Oreochromis niloticus: one gene and its partner. The protein of the gene in region 1 purifies or fractionates together with the protein of each later gene. This does not show direct contact. Links are inferred from orthologs where the notes say so. Each region holds a gene or a part of one and is shown on either strand. Other genes may lie near its edges.

The links. Proteins that work in one complex are often made in the same cells at the same time.
Region 2: the proteins of cop1 (region 1) and cops6 purify together in Homo sapiens (affinity purification with western blotting; 3 studies listed by BioGRID and IntAct, with this or other methods). This does not show direct contact. The link is inferred for Oreochromis niloticus from reciprocal best matches to the Homo sapiens genes COP1 and COPS6.

Annotation. Positions count from the first base shown.
Region 1 is NC_031982.2:4,016,518-4,024,350, reverse strand, and holds the start of cop1 (E3 ubiquitin-protein ligase COP1), read right to left. Parts: upstream 3,075-7,833; 5' UTR 2,619-3,074; coding exon 2,251-2,618; intron 2,161-2,250; coding exon 2,101-2,160; intron 602-2,100; coding exon 504-601; intron 29-503; coding exon 1-28. UniProt on the Homo sapiens protein: E3 ubiquitin-protein ligase that mediates ubiquitination and subsequent proteasomal degradation of target proteins.
Region 2 is NC_031966.2:16,067,051-16,074,080, forward strand, and holds the start of cops6 (COP9 signalosome complex subunit 6), read right to left. Parts: upstream 3,086-7,030; 5' UTR 3,004-3,085; coding exon 2,961-3,003; intron 1,540-2,960; coding exon 1,414-1,539; intron 1,292-1,413; coding exon 1,160-1,291; intron 199-1,159; coding exon 110-198; intron 1-109. Other genes in the region: uncharacterized protein LOC100705850, read left to right, coding at 3,318-3,418, 3,554-3,629, 4,987-6,036. UniProt on the Homo sapiens protein: Component of the COP9 signalosome complex (CSN), a complex involved in various cellular and developmental processes.

The DNA.
Region 1 (7,833 bases):
TGTTTTTGTTTAAGGATCAGTTCATTTACTGGGATGTGGTGAGGAAGTTGTGGACAAGGGATAAATAAGAGAGGAGGAACAGTGGAGTAAGTATATGACAAAGAGACTGTCACAGCTAAGGAACAACACATCTGCAGAGACATTTTACTTGTGATGAATAAAAGAAAAGTGGCAGCGACATCTTTATCATTATGCATTTAAATACCTACACAATGCATTTCATTAGATTTTTGTTTGGCCCATTTATGAGACAAAACTTTCAATTTTGACTTCATTCAAATACGAAAGCCTCATTTTAGTAGTGATTATGAGCTAAAGACAAATCTATTCAAATATTGTGATTTTAAAAATCATTAAGTCCAAAACTGACATAACAGCTATATTTTAATGTCCAAGTTAAAATGAAAAGCTCTGAGAAAAATGATTAGTTTAGGAGCTGATCATCTGACTGTTAGAAAAAACCCAAAACAAAACAAAAAATCCCTCCAGTTCAAAATACCCACCAAGAAAGTTTGGGTAGACCTGATCCACATTATCGATAATATAGTTACACTTGGGACATCTGTTGCTGTCCTCCAGACTCTGGCGGATACACTTGAAACTGCAGGATGGAGAGAGAGAATAAATAAATATTATGGACTCCAGCTCCACGTTTCAGTCCAAGATCTTACAAGATTAGCTTTAAACGAGTCATAGTCAAAATAATCTTTATTCATCCCATACTGGGCCTTCTTCTGATTATATGTGACCCTCAAAAACAGAACTTTTGCTCAAAGCCAGAGCTCTGATCCTGTTAAGGATATCTGCTCGCACCGACATCACCAGTGAGTAGACAAACTATCGCAAACTGAGGCATAACTTGCTAATGTGCTGATGTCATTACTTGGATCTTTGGTCATGTTTATTATGAGCATTGAAAAACGAGCCCATTAACAGAAATGAGAATCACTGCAAGCAAACACAACAGGCATAAAGAACACTGAGCCAACTGTGGATTACCAGTAATCATGTTAAGCTTTACCATAACTTTGCTGAAGAGTCTACAGGCTTATATTCAGCTTAAGACCATCTACTGTCATTAAAAACTAGTTAATGTTTTTGCTCTGTTTTTTTGTTGTTGTTGATGTTGTTTTTAATTATTACAACCAACTTTGCAGTTTGAACCTTTTCCTTTTTGCTTCTTATCAAAATGCAGTGTGGATGACTTAGTTCATTCATTTACTTTCTATAATTAAAAGAAAATGTGCTTACATAAAATAAAAGTCTCTTATATCTTAGACTAGATTAAACATCCGTCATTTCATTATCGATCAAAATAATTGGGATTTTTGCCAAAATAAAGCACTCCTTCCAGTTGATTTTACTGATTCCGGTGGCAATAGCCATTGTGCTTACTTTTTTAATGTTAGCCTAATGAATCCTGATCAATTCTCTGTGCAAAACAAACAGCAAGCCTTTACAGGCTTTTGGCATTAATGAAAAGTTGAATTCAGGGTTTTTTTTTTCACCTTGAATAGAAAACAATATTGGTGGCATCCTCTAAAGGAAAATTACCAGGATTATAAATTAGTTGGACATGTTTTAACCGTAAGCTTGCTTTTCACTCATTAAACTCCCAAAATAAAATGCAGAAATGTACACCAAACAGACTCGCTGCTTTAACCAATCTTGCTTTTGCAGCGTCACCCCTATTTTGAGTCAGAAAAACTCTTGGGTCTGACCAGAGACGAAGTGAGGCTTGCATGGTGTACAAAACTTGCATTGTATGGGTTTGATGTTGTTATTGTCATTAAAATATAGCAACACTGATGTGATGGACTGTGATTTGGAACTTCCTCTAGAAGCCCATCTGTAACATTAAAAACATGCCCAAACTTTAAAACAAAATGCAAGAACAAAAAAATACTATAAAAAAATATTGTCAAAAGTTTTTTTTAAAGTGCACAGTAATCAGCTGTAAGTATGGATCCCCGCAGAGTGCATGGTTTGTCTTAAAGATAACTTTGTTCCTTCAGTCTGTGACATTTGTTGCTCTTCAGCATTTGTGACACTGTCGAATACTTTGCTGTGCATCATTTTCTCTACAACACAAACACTCACCAAAAACTGTGCCCGCACTTCGTCATGTGTGCCTCGTCTATCATTTCGAAGCAAATGGGACTGGAAAAACAAGCAGAAACCCGAGTCATCGTGCAGCTCTCAAACTTTTACGGAACTCACCCCAAAGCTCGAGTGCAATACAAAACTAACCAGACGAAGTCGTTGCTTTTATCTTCGTATGAATTCAAGAGGCCGTTGTACAGTGGTGCCTGATGCAGGGATCTCTTTCTGTTACCAGAGGACGCAGACGGTCTGCTGAGAGAAGCTAAGCCGCCCCGGGGTGACGGCACGGCGGCCAGAGTTGGCACTGACAGGCCGCCCTCTCCGGCCGCTGCCAGGGTCCGTGAGGGCACAACATTTCCAGAAGTGCTCCCATTACTTGTGGGAGCGCTGCTGCCACCGCCACCGTTTGTATTCCCAGTGCCTCCTGTACTACTACTGCTGCTGCTGCTGCTACTTGTGCTGGGCACTGAACTCGCCCCAGCAGCGCTTTGCTGTGGCCGGTTGCTTGACATCATACAAGGCCGACTAGGAACTCCCCAAATCCGCTGCGTTGCTATTCAAAGCATCCGGAAAGAGCAGCTATTTGGCTACTTTAGCAGATTTGCTAGCTAGCTGGTTTGCTTATGTGCTAACATCCTGGGAGAAATACAAGAGTGGCCAAACATCCAGCGGAGAGAAAAAAAAAAAAAAGGTTGGCCGTCGATGTCTGGTTTAACGCTTGTCACTAACGGTGAATTCCAAGATCGCTGGACTCTAAACAGAAAAACACAGACCAACACTGTAACGGCCAAGAAAATAAGAACGGCTGCGCTGTTCAGGAGATTATCCGGCTAGCTACTGTTAGCAACAGAGAGAGTTTCCTCGATTACTCGGGTACCAGCAATCCAAAACCTGGTTTTAAACTATCGCCCCCTAGCGAGAAGGAGTTTAACCGCGCTGGTGGAAATGTAGACTTCAGGGAATTATCCACTCAGAAAAAAAAGAGCACAGCTTTTAATTTGTCTTTCAGTATGCCAGTCCTAGTCTCTATAACTGTTTTAATGCTTACATCATTTAATTATCCTGTTTAAGTAGTATCATAAAGGATATAATCATGTGACCCATGGCATGAAAAACAGACAGCAATGTTTATTGGAATGCAATGTAGCAGGGCTGAATTAAATACTATCCTCGTATTTAACACAGGGGATTTTCTCAGTGTTAATAACAACACTTGGAAAAGGAGTTTGTTTATTTCACTTCATGCTATGTTATGTTACTCTGTAAAATACTTTTTTGCGATGTGATTATATTATTGTTATTGTTATTATTATTATTATTATTATTATTATTACATGTTCTGTACTATGTTGTAAAGTCTAGTTATAGTAATTCAACAGAAAAAATGACTTTGATTATGGAATTTTAAACATGTGTGTTGTTTTATTTCCTTCTTTTATTTCTATTTTTGTAACCCCTTGAAACAGTTTGTGTGAAACACAATTATCTCAGCTGAACCTAGAATTACTAGCTTTTTTATAACTTCCTGCCAATACTGGCTTTCGCTGCTATCCAAAGCTCAAATCATGCTAGGAGGTTCTGAGATAATGTCCCTGGAAGCTTTGAAGAAAATTGGATGAACAGGTGCACATGTTTACAGAGATTCCTTGATTTATTGGAGAAATATAATACGATGAAAACGTCCAGTTCATAAACTCAACTAACAACATGTAGCCATGAAAGTTAGTCAGGTAGCTAGTTAACATACAAACAACAAAAGAACGTCAGGCAGGTACACATATTGCATGTATGCATTTTTGTCATCTGCAGTTCTAGATTCAAGATTAAAGACTCTTTTTTGTTTATATCATTATATTTAATGACACAAATCTTGAAAATATATATACTATAAGACTGGGATTTAAAAATATCGCACACTTGACTGAACATGATTTATTTACAGGCTATGTGTATCTATAAGTAATGTGTATACCTGAGGGATGTAATAGTGTGGAGTGGTAGAAAAGTGTACTTCACAAACAGCTTCCACAGCATGTCTTTTATCCTGTCTTCCTTCTCTCATCCCAACCGGTCGCAGCAGATGGCCCCGCCCCTCCCTGAGCCTGGTTCTGCCAGAGGTTTCTTCCTGTTAAAAGGGAGTTTTTCCTTCCCACTGTCACCAAAGTGCTTGCTCATAGGGGGTCATATGATTGTTGGGTTTTTCTCTGTATGTATACTGTAAAGTCTACCTTACACTATAAAGCGCCTTGAGGCGACTGTTGTTATAATTTGGCGCTGTATAAACAAAATTTATAATTGAAAAAGGTTTTTACATTTTTTCTAAAATGTACTGCATATGCAGATGTAAACTTCCCTCAGAGGTCACTGACATTTTCAGTGCAAAAATCCAGGTGAAATGATAAACACATCTAAAAATATTGCCACATATAAAAATCCATAACGAGAGGATCAAATGAAGAGTTTTGTGTAATCAGCATCCACTACTGAATAAAAGGCCGGTAACTGTGATAGAACACAGATTCAGTTGTTTAACACATGAATACTGCGTCAGAATTCACTTTTAAGTTAAGAGGTAAGTACATCTCAAGAATCAGACGTGCATCTGCAGCACCACAGATGCACGTCTCTATTTAAGAAATGCCTCCAAATATTACAGAGATTTCTGTCCACCACTCAAATGCACAGTGGCTCCCGTGCTTGTCATTCTTTCCAGATTGCCTTTTTACATTAAAAAAACAAAAAAAATCAAGCAGGTAGGTCACATCCACAAAGTGCAGCCAGGGGCCGAGCCAACACAAACAGCATCGTGTCATTCAGGCATCCACCTGCAGCTTTGCAAATAGAACCCGAGGAGCACTAACATATTCACGCTCACAGTTTGTCCAGCCTGCTACTTGATTTTTCCATTTTTACCTCCATGTGGGCAAATAAGGGGTCCTCCACGTAGGCACGCACGACATTGGATTTTCCCATGTTTTTGTTTGCGGAAAGAAGTTTATATGTTTCATTATGGAGCTCAGTTAGGATGGAGAGTAAGTTTTTTTTCTTTTTCAGCTAGAGGAAAGTTACTGAGTACGTCGAAGAGCAAATGAGTTTCTCTGAGAGGGGACCACCATGTTAACGGGCTTCCTCTGTGCTGCATGCAGGCGGTGAATCATGCTGAGTTTAGAAGAAGCCAACGGAAAGTCACTGTGCTAATATCAGCAGCGATGCAGTTTTCACAAAAGCTCCAAAAAGGGGAAACTTGTGTCACTTTTTTCATTTTTCAACGAGGCTTTACAGATCGGTAGAAAATATAATTTCAAAGAAACAAAAAAGGCAGTGAAAGTGTGAAGCTTCCAAGCAATGAAGCAAATGTTGCAGCTATTGATTTGAACACCCTCATCGCTAAATCCTGAATCCTTGGAGTAAAACACCTGCAGCACTGTCCACACACTGTGCTTCATGTGCCTTCCCCCTCGGCCCATCTCCCTGCCCCACTTCTATTTCACACCAGTGGTGGTGAAAAGCACTCTTTTCTTCTTTCTTCCCCCTTCTCATTTGTCCTCCGCATCAGCCTGGATTTTCTCCTATTGGGCCCCCCCTCTTCCTTTTTTTTTTTTTTTTGCATGAGGATCCAGGTTGTGTGTGTGTGTAGAAAAGAGAGCACGAGGGGAAGGGGACATGGAGCTGGCCTCGGGGTCGTTGGGGTCAAGACGGACAAGCTGAGATGAAGGATAATCTGTGGAGGTCCCTTACAGTGGGGGGTGAGGCCCTGGAGGAGCACGCCCATTCAGACGCTCTACCAGACACCCCACTCCCTTCTATGGCTCTCTTCCTCTCTTTCTCTTCTGCCTCTTCTCCTCCATCCTCTGTTTTTGTTGGAAATTTAAAGTCCCCCTCCCCCTCTGATTTCTCTTGTCCCCCTCTTCCTCCAAATGCAGTTGCAGCTGGATTTCAAAGGGCACTTCTGCAGCAGAGAAAGCTGAATGTTTAGCAGCCAGGCTTGGTTTGTGGAATTCCTGCCTCCCACTCTTTAGGAACCGTTTTTTGCCCCTTCAGGGGCCCCTGCCATAACTGCCGGTGGCCTCCCCCTCCTCCTCCTCCATTTCCATCTCCAACCTTGAGCCAGGGCCCTGTTGGCAAATTGAGCTTGACAAAAAAGTAAAATAGCAGGGCCTGAAAGAAGGAGGCAACACTTTAGAAGGTGTGGAACAACAAAAAAGTGGCCTACAGGAGGCCGTTTTTTGTTTGTTTGTTTTGTTTATTTACTATTAAAGATTTAATTACCACTTAAAAGATAAATAATGACTCATTCATAAAAAAAATGCAAACCAATACCACAGTGTGCAGTTTCAAGACTTTAAAATCATCTGGTGGAATATCACTTCTTAGTGATTTTTAAGGATCAGTATAGATTTTGTTTGCAGCTTCTGGAAACATTACAGTGAGCACACCTGTCTTTTGACTTAGACTGCCTGCACAACATGCCAAAAGCTATTTTCCCATTTGTAAGGTATTCATCATGGCTTGAGATATTCATCAATGCACGATAAGCTTCAGAGCTGGCTCGGAAATGACAAAGAATTCAAGGACACCTGCAACACTTTAAATGCATGTTTTCTGTTTGTTTGCCTTCGAATGCAAAAGTAGTAGCATTACTGAGTTTCTGCCCGAAACACGCTTACATGCACGACCTCTAAAGGCAGGGGGAAAAAAAACAAACAGGGTGAATATTGAGGTTGAAAGAAAACGAGTTGACCATTAAAGGGGCCTTTCATTTGCTTTTGTGAGAGACTTCGACCACAGCCCTTCCTTCTTTCAGAGGACAGACTGCTCCTGATAATGGAAATTACAAAAAAAAAATAAAAAAATCAGCTGGACCTTCAGTAGTTTTTTTTTGTCATTTTTGCATAAAAAACAGTATCAAAAGATAGTAAAATGTCTTTTTTTGTTGTTGTAACATTTCATTATGCAAGTATATGTCTGCATGTATGCAGATGCACACAGCTTTTCATAGAATCTGTTCACTGGGCACCTACAAACGGACAAATCTGTGTGCATTATTTCACCATCATCCACCTTGGTTTAATTTCTTCCTCTCTGCCAGTGCTTCCACCCCTTTTTTCAGCCTTGGCCCACACGAGCACAAGAGTTCAGCACAAAGCAGGTAGCATATTTGGATGGTAAAACCCCCCCCCAAAAAAACCTTTTTCACGTGCAGGACAGATGTTGTGCCTGTCTGTGCTGTACCACTGAAGAGAGCCAGAGTGTGAGTGTGTGAGTGAGACTGCAGGAGAATGGGCAAGGGAGAGAGAATGAGGGAGGGAGGGAGAGGAGAAGGAAAAGGAAAAGGAAAAGGAAGAGAGAAAGTTACTCAAACTTTACCTATTTCATTTAGGGGTAATTTGTGTGTGTGAGAGAGAGAGAGGGGAAAGGAAAGAGAGTGAGGGAGGGTCATAGGGAGAAAACACTTCTCCTCCCCCATCCCAGCCACCATCATTCATCGTTTGCCAGGTTAGAGAGTCCCATTAAGAAGACACGGACAGCAAATCATATACTGCAGCTTATGCTGCGATTGTTTTCTACTCAATCTGACACCAGTTTACACAGTAATTCACTGTGTGACTTATGAATATCATAATGTAAATATACATTATGTAATATTGTAGCATAATATAGTATAATATAAGGTATTAAAACTTAGTTGTGCTTGTGCACTTGTCCACGCACAAGTGCACTTTTTTCCTG
Region 2 (7,030 bases), on another chromosome or scaffold:
TAAAAGGTTAAAACTGATACATTTCGCTTCTGAAATATTCATGGCCACAGTACACGTGTCAAAACATCGACATCCTGCCACCTGTCAGTGGGCTTCAGTGTCTGCCTACCTGCTTGTGAATGTGGATATCTGACTGGTCTGGAGGACCACCTGTGGTGTACCAGCCCAGAAACTCCATGTCTTTGAAGACCTGTTTGACTGAGAGACCAGAGGACAATGTAAGGACAAAAATGATCTGATGACTTGACTTACTAATAAATACATATCTGAGAGGGGCTTGGAGAACATAATCATCAATGAACTCTCTCATAGTTACATGAAAACTGAAGAGTTTTTTTTTTTTTTTTGCTTTGCTCATGCTCCGCTTTATTCAAGGTTACAGCAGTTAACTAAAGCGAACTAAAACAATATAGTGAACCTACAAAACAAACTACAGGTTTAAGTCTTTGTCATTTTAATAAAACGTGATAAAAAACTAAATAAATAAAAACTCTGCTTTATGAGGCTTTTCTGCAAACTCTTACAGAGTCTGCACGACTGTGAGTCAACTGCCTTCATAAAGAGTTGTGTTTTTATTATAAGGCCTGTTCTGATTTTCTGGAAATTAACAGCAACTTAACCGACTTGAAAACAAAATTACAAAATCCAAAATAAGAGGCAGAGAATGAGAGTTTTGGTAGTTTTTATGTAATTTTGACCAAAAGACTTGTGTGTAAATCATTTACTTATGGCTCAAGAACTGGATCCAATGCTGCCATCTCTTGGTCAAGTGTTAGAAACCTCCCTTCACATGTTTTACTCCTTGCCCATCCAGACATATTAACAATGTATCGGTACTCTTTGGGAACTGAAACGCCAAAACTACAGAGTCCCATTCTGGCCTTCAAGACTTATCAATTGTTGTATTGTTTATTGTTCTTTGTGTGAGAAAGTCAGAACACAGATACAAAATGTCTCAATTTAATAAAGCAGGCAAGGACAAAACTAAAGTCTAGAAAAACACATCCAACAAGCTGATGTGTGAACTGATCTCCTGAATGATGATTATACCGGTGTTACTAATTTTAGCACAACTCCAGCTACCGAACAACTGAGTCATCAAAGAAGATGCACACACAAATATGTGCATTATTGTCCTTAAGACTTGATGAAAACTTACACTGTTCCTCCTTGGTGTAGTAGTACTCCTTGTCAATGTGCACTTTGTCGTCTATGGTGTGAGACAGCAACTCAAAGGAGTTCATCACCTCAATGTTTCTACCCTCCTGTTTCCCAATCAGAGCTCCAATCACTGAGCAGAGAGACAAACACAACAGCATATGTTTATCTTTAACTTAGACTTTTATTCCAATGCACGTAAGCTCAAAATATATAAATATGTGATTGGATAATGTGTTGTTTTTTCACACATACCCTGCATTGGTCGGCCCTCCTGCGAGCGGATGCGTATCCAGTGATCGGATATGTTTAGGATAACCAGAGGGTGTAAGGCCACAGAAACACTCCCAGTGACCCCTGAGGCCATAACACTGGGGCTGGCTACAGTCATACAAAGACACAAATAAGATTGGGATTAACAGTATGTCAATGACAATATAAAAAAGTCAAAAAACTTGTTAACTGGAAGCACTTTATCAAATTCAAACAATTACTGGAAAGCCAGACAAAGGGATCATTCCATTTCAAATCACCATGGGTTTTCTGCTCAACCATCTTAGAATTTTATGGTCCCAAGCTGTAAAATTTTACCTTCGTATGATATCAATGAAAATGTGTCGATGGACCATTTTTGAAAAGAATACATCTTGAAAAGTATTTGATATATGAAGCTAAAATTTCACAGCAATAAATATGTATCCAATCTGTGGACCATTGCCTTTTTAGGCAAATCTGAGATAGTTGTGCAAAAGGGCAACAGTGATTTGAGATTAAATGAACCAGGTACAAGTGGAAATACTTCTTCAAATCCAAATAATTACTGAAAAAATAGGAAAAAAAGGAACAGTGATCAACCAAAAGTGATTAATATGCTCCTATCACATTAACTGGAAAGTTAATGAACAATGGATCAGTCCTGTTTCGGTATACGTCTAATCAAACTGCATGTATATGTGAAACACAAGAAAATAAGCAGAGACACATCAATAGCCGTAAATCAGTATGAACCCAAAACAATCAATAACGTATAACCAATGCATAACAGACAAAATAATAAGAGAAATTATTTACACTCAGATTGTAGCTGATGACAATGATCTATGTCACTTAGCTTCAGAGCCAAGCAACAGTGCATACACAGTTTTCTTTACATTCAAAATAAGTGACTGGATATATCCTTTTGGCATTAATCATCTGTTTAGTTTGGCACAAAAGATCAGTCTCATGATCGTTCCTAAAAAGTTATATAGCATATGCAATCATAAAACGAGTTCCACAGTTTCCCAACAGGACACCTGAGCAGGTAGATCAGTCAGTGAGTGCCCAATGACACAGTTTATAAAATTAATAAAACGCGACTTTCTCGACTCTGAGTGGTCGCCCTATGCTCGCTACATACAGTCATTTTAATGTATGTGTAACTAATCACACAGATATAGGCCTGCATGTCGGTTCCCCTCATGTACAGCTAATGTTTACGTGGTTGGTGTTGCAGCACTGCCACAGCATTTTAATCAAACTACACATGATGTTAGATTTTACTTCGAATTTCTGATGCAAACTCCTGTGGCAGAGCAGAGGGGACTGCCTCAAACATCCACAGTGATGAATGTACTGACAGCTTCACAGAGCTGAGTACGTTAACCTGCTTATGTCAGCGAGCAAGCTCCTTACGACCCCTTAACACCACGGAGTCGTCACTTCCGCTCACTTATAACACACAAAAACAACATATACGGCAACCTGCACGCAGGTTTTGGTTGATGTGGACAGAAACGATGAGATGAGGGATAAATACTCGCCTGCCCCATCCACTTCCATTCCTCCACCATTGCTGGTCGCCATCTTGTCCGGTAATCCGCGCAGGCGCAGTGGACTGTTGATGCAAAGGACGTTAAGTGGCTCTTCGTGGGGCTCTTTTTTAAAACAAAACGTGCCGCATATTCACGGTCATAAACCTGACGGGTTTATAGAAACATAGGCTGTCTGGGTCGGGGAATGTTGTGTTGAGCTTAAAGTAGCTGATTTGATTTCTGCCCAGCGGCCGCTCGGTCACACAGTCAGTGGACCGGTGTTTCCGGGGGATTGCTGATTCGGGCGCAACCCGTGTGCGTCCATGTACCATTCCGTGTGTGAGGTTTGAGAGTTTTGTTTACAAAATGGATGAATTCTGGGGCTGCAATCTGGACTACTTTCCCGAAAACATTTTAATCGATGTGTTGTCTTACCTGAACGTACGAGAGGTCGTCAGAGCCGGGAGGTAAGGGGATTTCAACTTTGCTCTCAAGGATTTACTAGTTATTCGTCGTTTAAAACAAAACTCAGGTTTTCGTTTGTTTTGTCTTTTGTTATGTGATTTGTGTATATGTTTATATATTTTAAATTGTGGTTTTAGAGTATGTAAGAGGTGGAAACGCCTTGTTAAAGACCAAAGACTGTGGAGAAATGTCGACCTGACTTCATGGAAAGGGGTAAGGATGTTGTTGCCAGTGTGGCTTCATAATTTTTCGTTTCTGCTGTTAATGCAGGCCAGCCATTTTTAGTAATCTAGTCTGTTACTTGGGGATAATAAAAGAAACAAACCCATAGCGATAACTTCTGCTTTTTCTTTTTCTTTTTCTTTTTTTATAAAGATGAAAGACTAGGAGCTGTTGACTCATGTTTTAATATATCCCCTCACATAAAATCAGCACTGGTTTCATCTGTGTCATCAAATAAAAATACAACACCCGGATTTTCCTGTCTCAAAACGGGCCCACTTATACAGTTGTGCTGAGAAATTTATATGAATGAATGCCACAGGAATTTGGGTCTGTGTAGGTTCTCATGGTAATCCAAGGAGCTTGGAAATAAAAGGGACTGGACTGCTTTAAGTTTCTTGAAGACATTTCACCTCTCATTCGAGAAGCTTCTTCAGTTCTAAGACCAAACGACCGTCTTAAGGGACAACTCCCACTAGAGCTTAAATACCTGGGACTTTCCACCATTTGGTCTTAGAACTTAAGAAGCTTCTTGGGTGAGAGGTGAAATGTCTTCAAGAAACTTAAAGAAGTCCAGCCATTTTTCTTTCCAAGCTCTTTACATAGAAATTTGGGGCTTTTCATAATTTCTTTGAACTGTTCTTTGTCCAGGGTGGAATAATTGTACAGAACGCATCTTTAATGCCTTTAAAGAGGAAAAACTAGATGCACAAGTTTGAATCAAATATACACATACAACCCCAACTAATATTTAGTTAATATAAATATTGGTTGCAATTCAGTTAGATACTTTCGGTAGCCATCGACAAGCTTCTGGTGCAACAGTGGCTGCATATTTGACCACTGTTCTTTGCAGAATTGGTCGAGTTCATTTAAATTGGTTGGTTTCCTGGCACAGAGCCAGCTTTTAAACATAGTCTACAAATTTTCAGTACGATTGATGTTGAAGCTTTGGGAAAGCTATTTCAGGAGCTTAATATTAGCCTGCTTTAGTTTTGACATGTCTTTGTTTCAACAACCTAGCTGCTGATTTGAGTCTTAGGCCATCTATTGACAGTTTCTGAGCTGTTACTAGTTATTCTTAACAGCCGTCTACTAATATTTTCTCCTGGCGAGTATGTGTTTTTCTATTGTGTGTGTATTTTAGTTTCTTTGATAGTAAATAAAATTGTCTATTGCTTTTTAAAGCCCCTTGTAAAGCAAATGCTTTTGTGTGTAAAATATGCTCTAAAAATAAACTGTGAGCATCTTTTGATAACATATGGGTTGTGTGTTTGTGCAGTTATTGACAGTTATTGTTTCTCTCTCTCAACACACACATATTCATGGACTGTCCACTGTGTGTTAGGTGACATCCCGCATCCTTTGGGTCCTGCTGCGTCAGTACCTGGGTTGCGGACTAAGGTGCCTTCGCTTGCGTGGTTTGCTGCTGTCCGCACGTGGCGGAACCTTTCTCTCTGAGTCTTGGCTTAAAGCTTTGTCCACAAAATGCCCTCGACTGAGTAAACTCTATCTTCTGCATGCAGACCTGAGAAGCCTGCCCAGTTGCCAGATCCTACCTCCATCTTTGCAGGTGCTGGAGCTGCGGGGTTGCGAGCTGCCTCGTGGCTTCTTCAATCAGACCCTGCCTACTTCATCAGCTAGTCTCCAAGAAAGAGCAGAACCCACATCCAGTGTTGGTTCTCAACTGAAAGGAAGGAACCAGAAAGGAAAAGGGGCTGGCTCTCCTTCAGGGATTGGTATTGAGAGGTTAGTCCTTAACAATGTGCCCTCTTTTACAGACCAGCACCTGCAGGGTCTGACATCATGGGAGAGGCTCTGTCGTCTAGAGCTACGTGACACCTTTCGCGTAACAGCTAATGGGCTTAGAAGCTGTGCTGCCAAAGATGGTGTCTGTGGTGTAGAAGGGCTTTCCAGGCTCAAGTTTCTGGAAATAGGCATTACAGGGCGGCAGGGCTACCAGTTACATATGGCCTCCCTTGGCTTGGGGGCTGGCTGGCTTGGACTGGAGGAGCTAAGTCTTGGTGGAAAAGAGGTGGGTCCAGGTTTGCTCTGCGCCAGCCGCCTGAGAGACCTGAAACGTCTGCGCCTGTGGGACTGCACACTCAGCGAGCTGCAGATAGCCCGGAGTTGCAGGATGCTCCGTGGACTTCGCCAGCTGGAGTTTGTGGACGTCAGGTTCCAGCCTCGTCAGAATCCACCAGCAGAGGAGGGGGAGGGTGGTGAGGAAGAAGAGCAGGACAGAGAAGAAGCTGCAGGTGCAGATGGCAGCAGCGATGAGAACAAGACGGCAGATATGAACGATCCTATTCCAGGTCTGCGTCGCACACTGGCTGTCCTGCTGCCATCCTGCACACTGGTGTTTACCAACTGCTCTGTTCAGAATAATGAAGATTGAATGAAGCTATATGCTGCTATATACAAGCAACCCACATGGGATTTTAAAAATAAAATAAAAACAACAAAAAACAAAACGGTTACATAGGCTTTCAGATCATGTTGACATAAGTAGAGCCGGATTCAGAATGCTTTGTCAACTTTTTCTGACAATGCCACAATAAGTCCATAAATAAATAAAAATAATTTTAAAAGTCTACTCACAATGATCCATGTTTATAGTATTTTTTTAGGCTTTTAGAATGAAGTAACAAAAAACCGAAAAGCTGTACACAGTAATGTATTCAAATGTATTAGGGGATTATTGAGCGATAAAATAAAATAAAAATAGTATGTATAAAAATAAATGACTTCCTCAATATAATTACCTTTGAGGGCTTTAGAGGAGGATTGCAGGTTTCAGCAGTGCAAGAACAACAATAAATGTTTTGGCCCTTTATTTAGGTTTTTACAGTATTATGTTCAAAATGTTACTTGTCTCGATTAAAGCTGACTTAGAAGTAGGAGATATATTGTGATATGGTGTTTTCTGAAAAATCTAATTGGTAACAGTTGCCTAAAACTTCCAATCTGAATTGTCTGTCGTTGACAAATCGGATTACTTCATCACATTGATGCAAACATCATGAAAAACATCTTTCTCATCAGTTTGAAAGGTTGCCTCATAAGCTGAGGCTACTACATTACGAAAGTTAAGAAAAAACATCTGTCATCATAGACACAAATTATATTGTCTTAAGGGATATTTCATGATCTCCTACAATACTCAGTGTCTTTGAGGTAAGTCAGTGGGAAGTCTCTCCTTTTTAGTGCTTAGAAACGATATGAAATAAAATGCAGAACAGTTGCTGTTAGACTGTAAACAGATAAGCAGGTGTCAGCAACAAAGACAAACAAGTCATGATCCACCTGTTTCCTGTTCTTTACCACTTCTCAACAACATATACTGTCAGAGAACATATATTTTACTCTGTTTGGTTGGGTGATGCACAGGA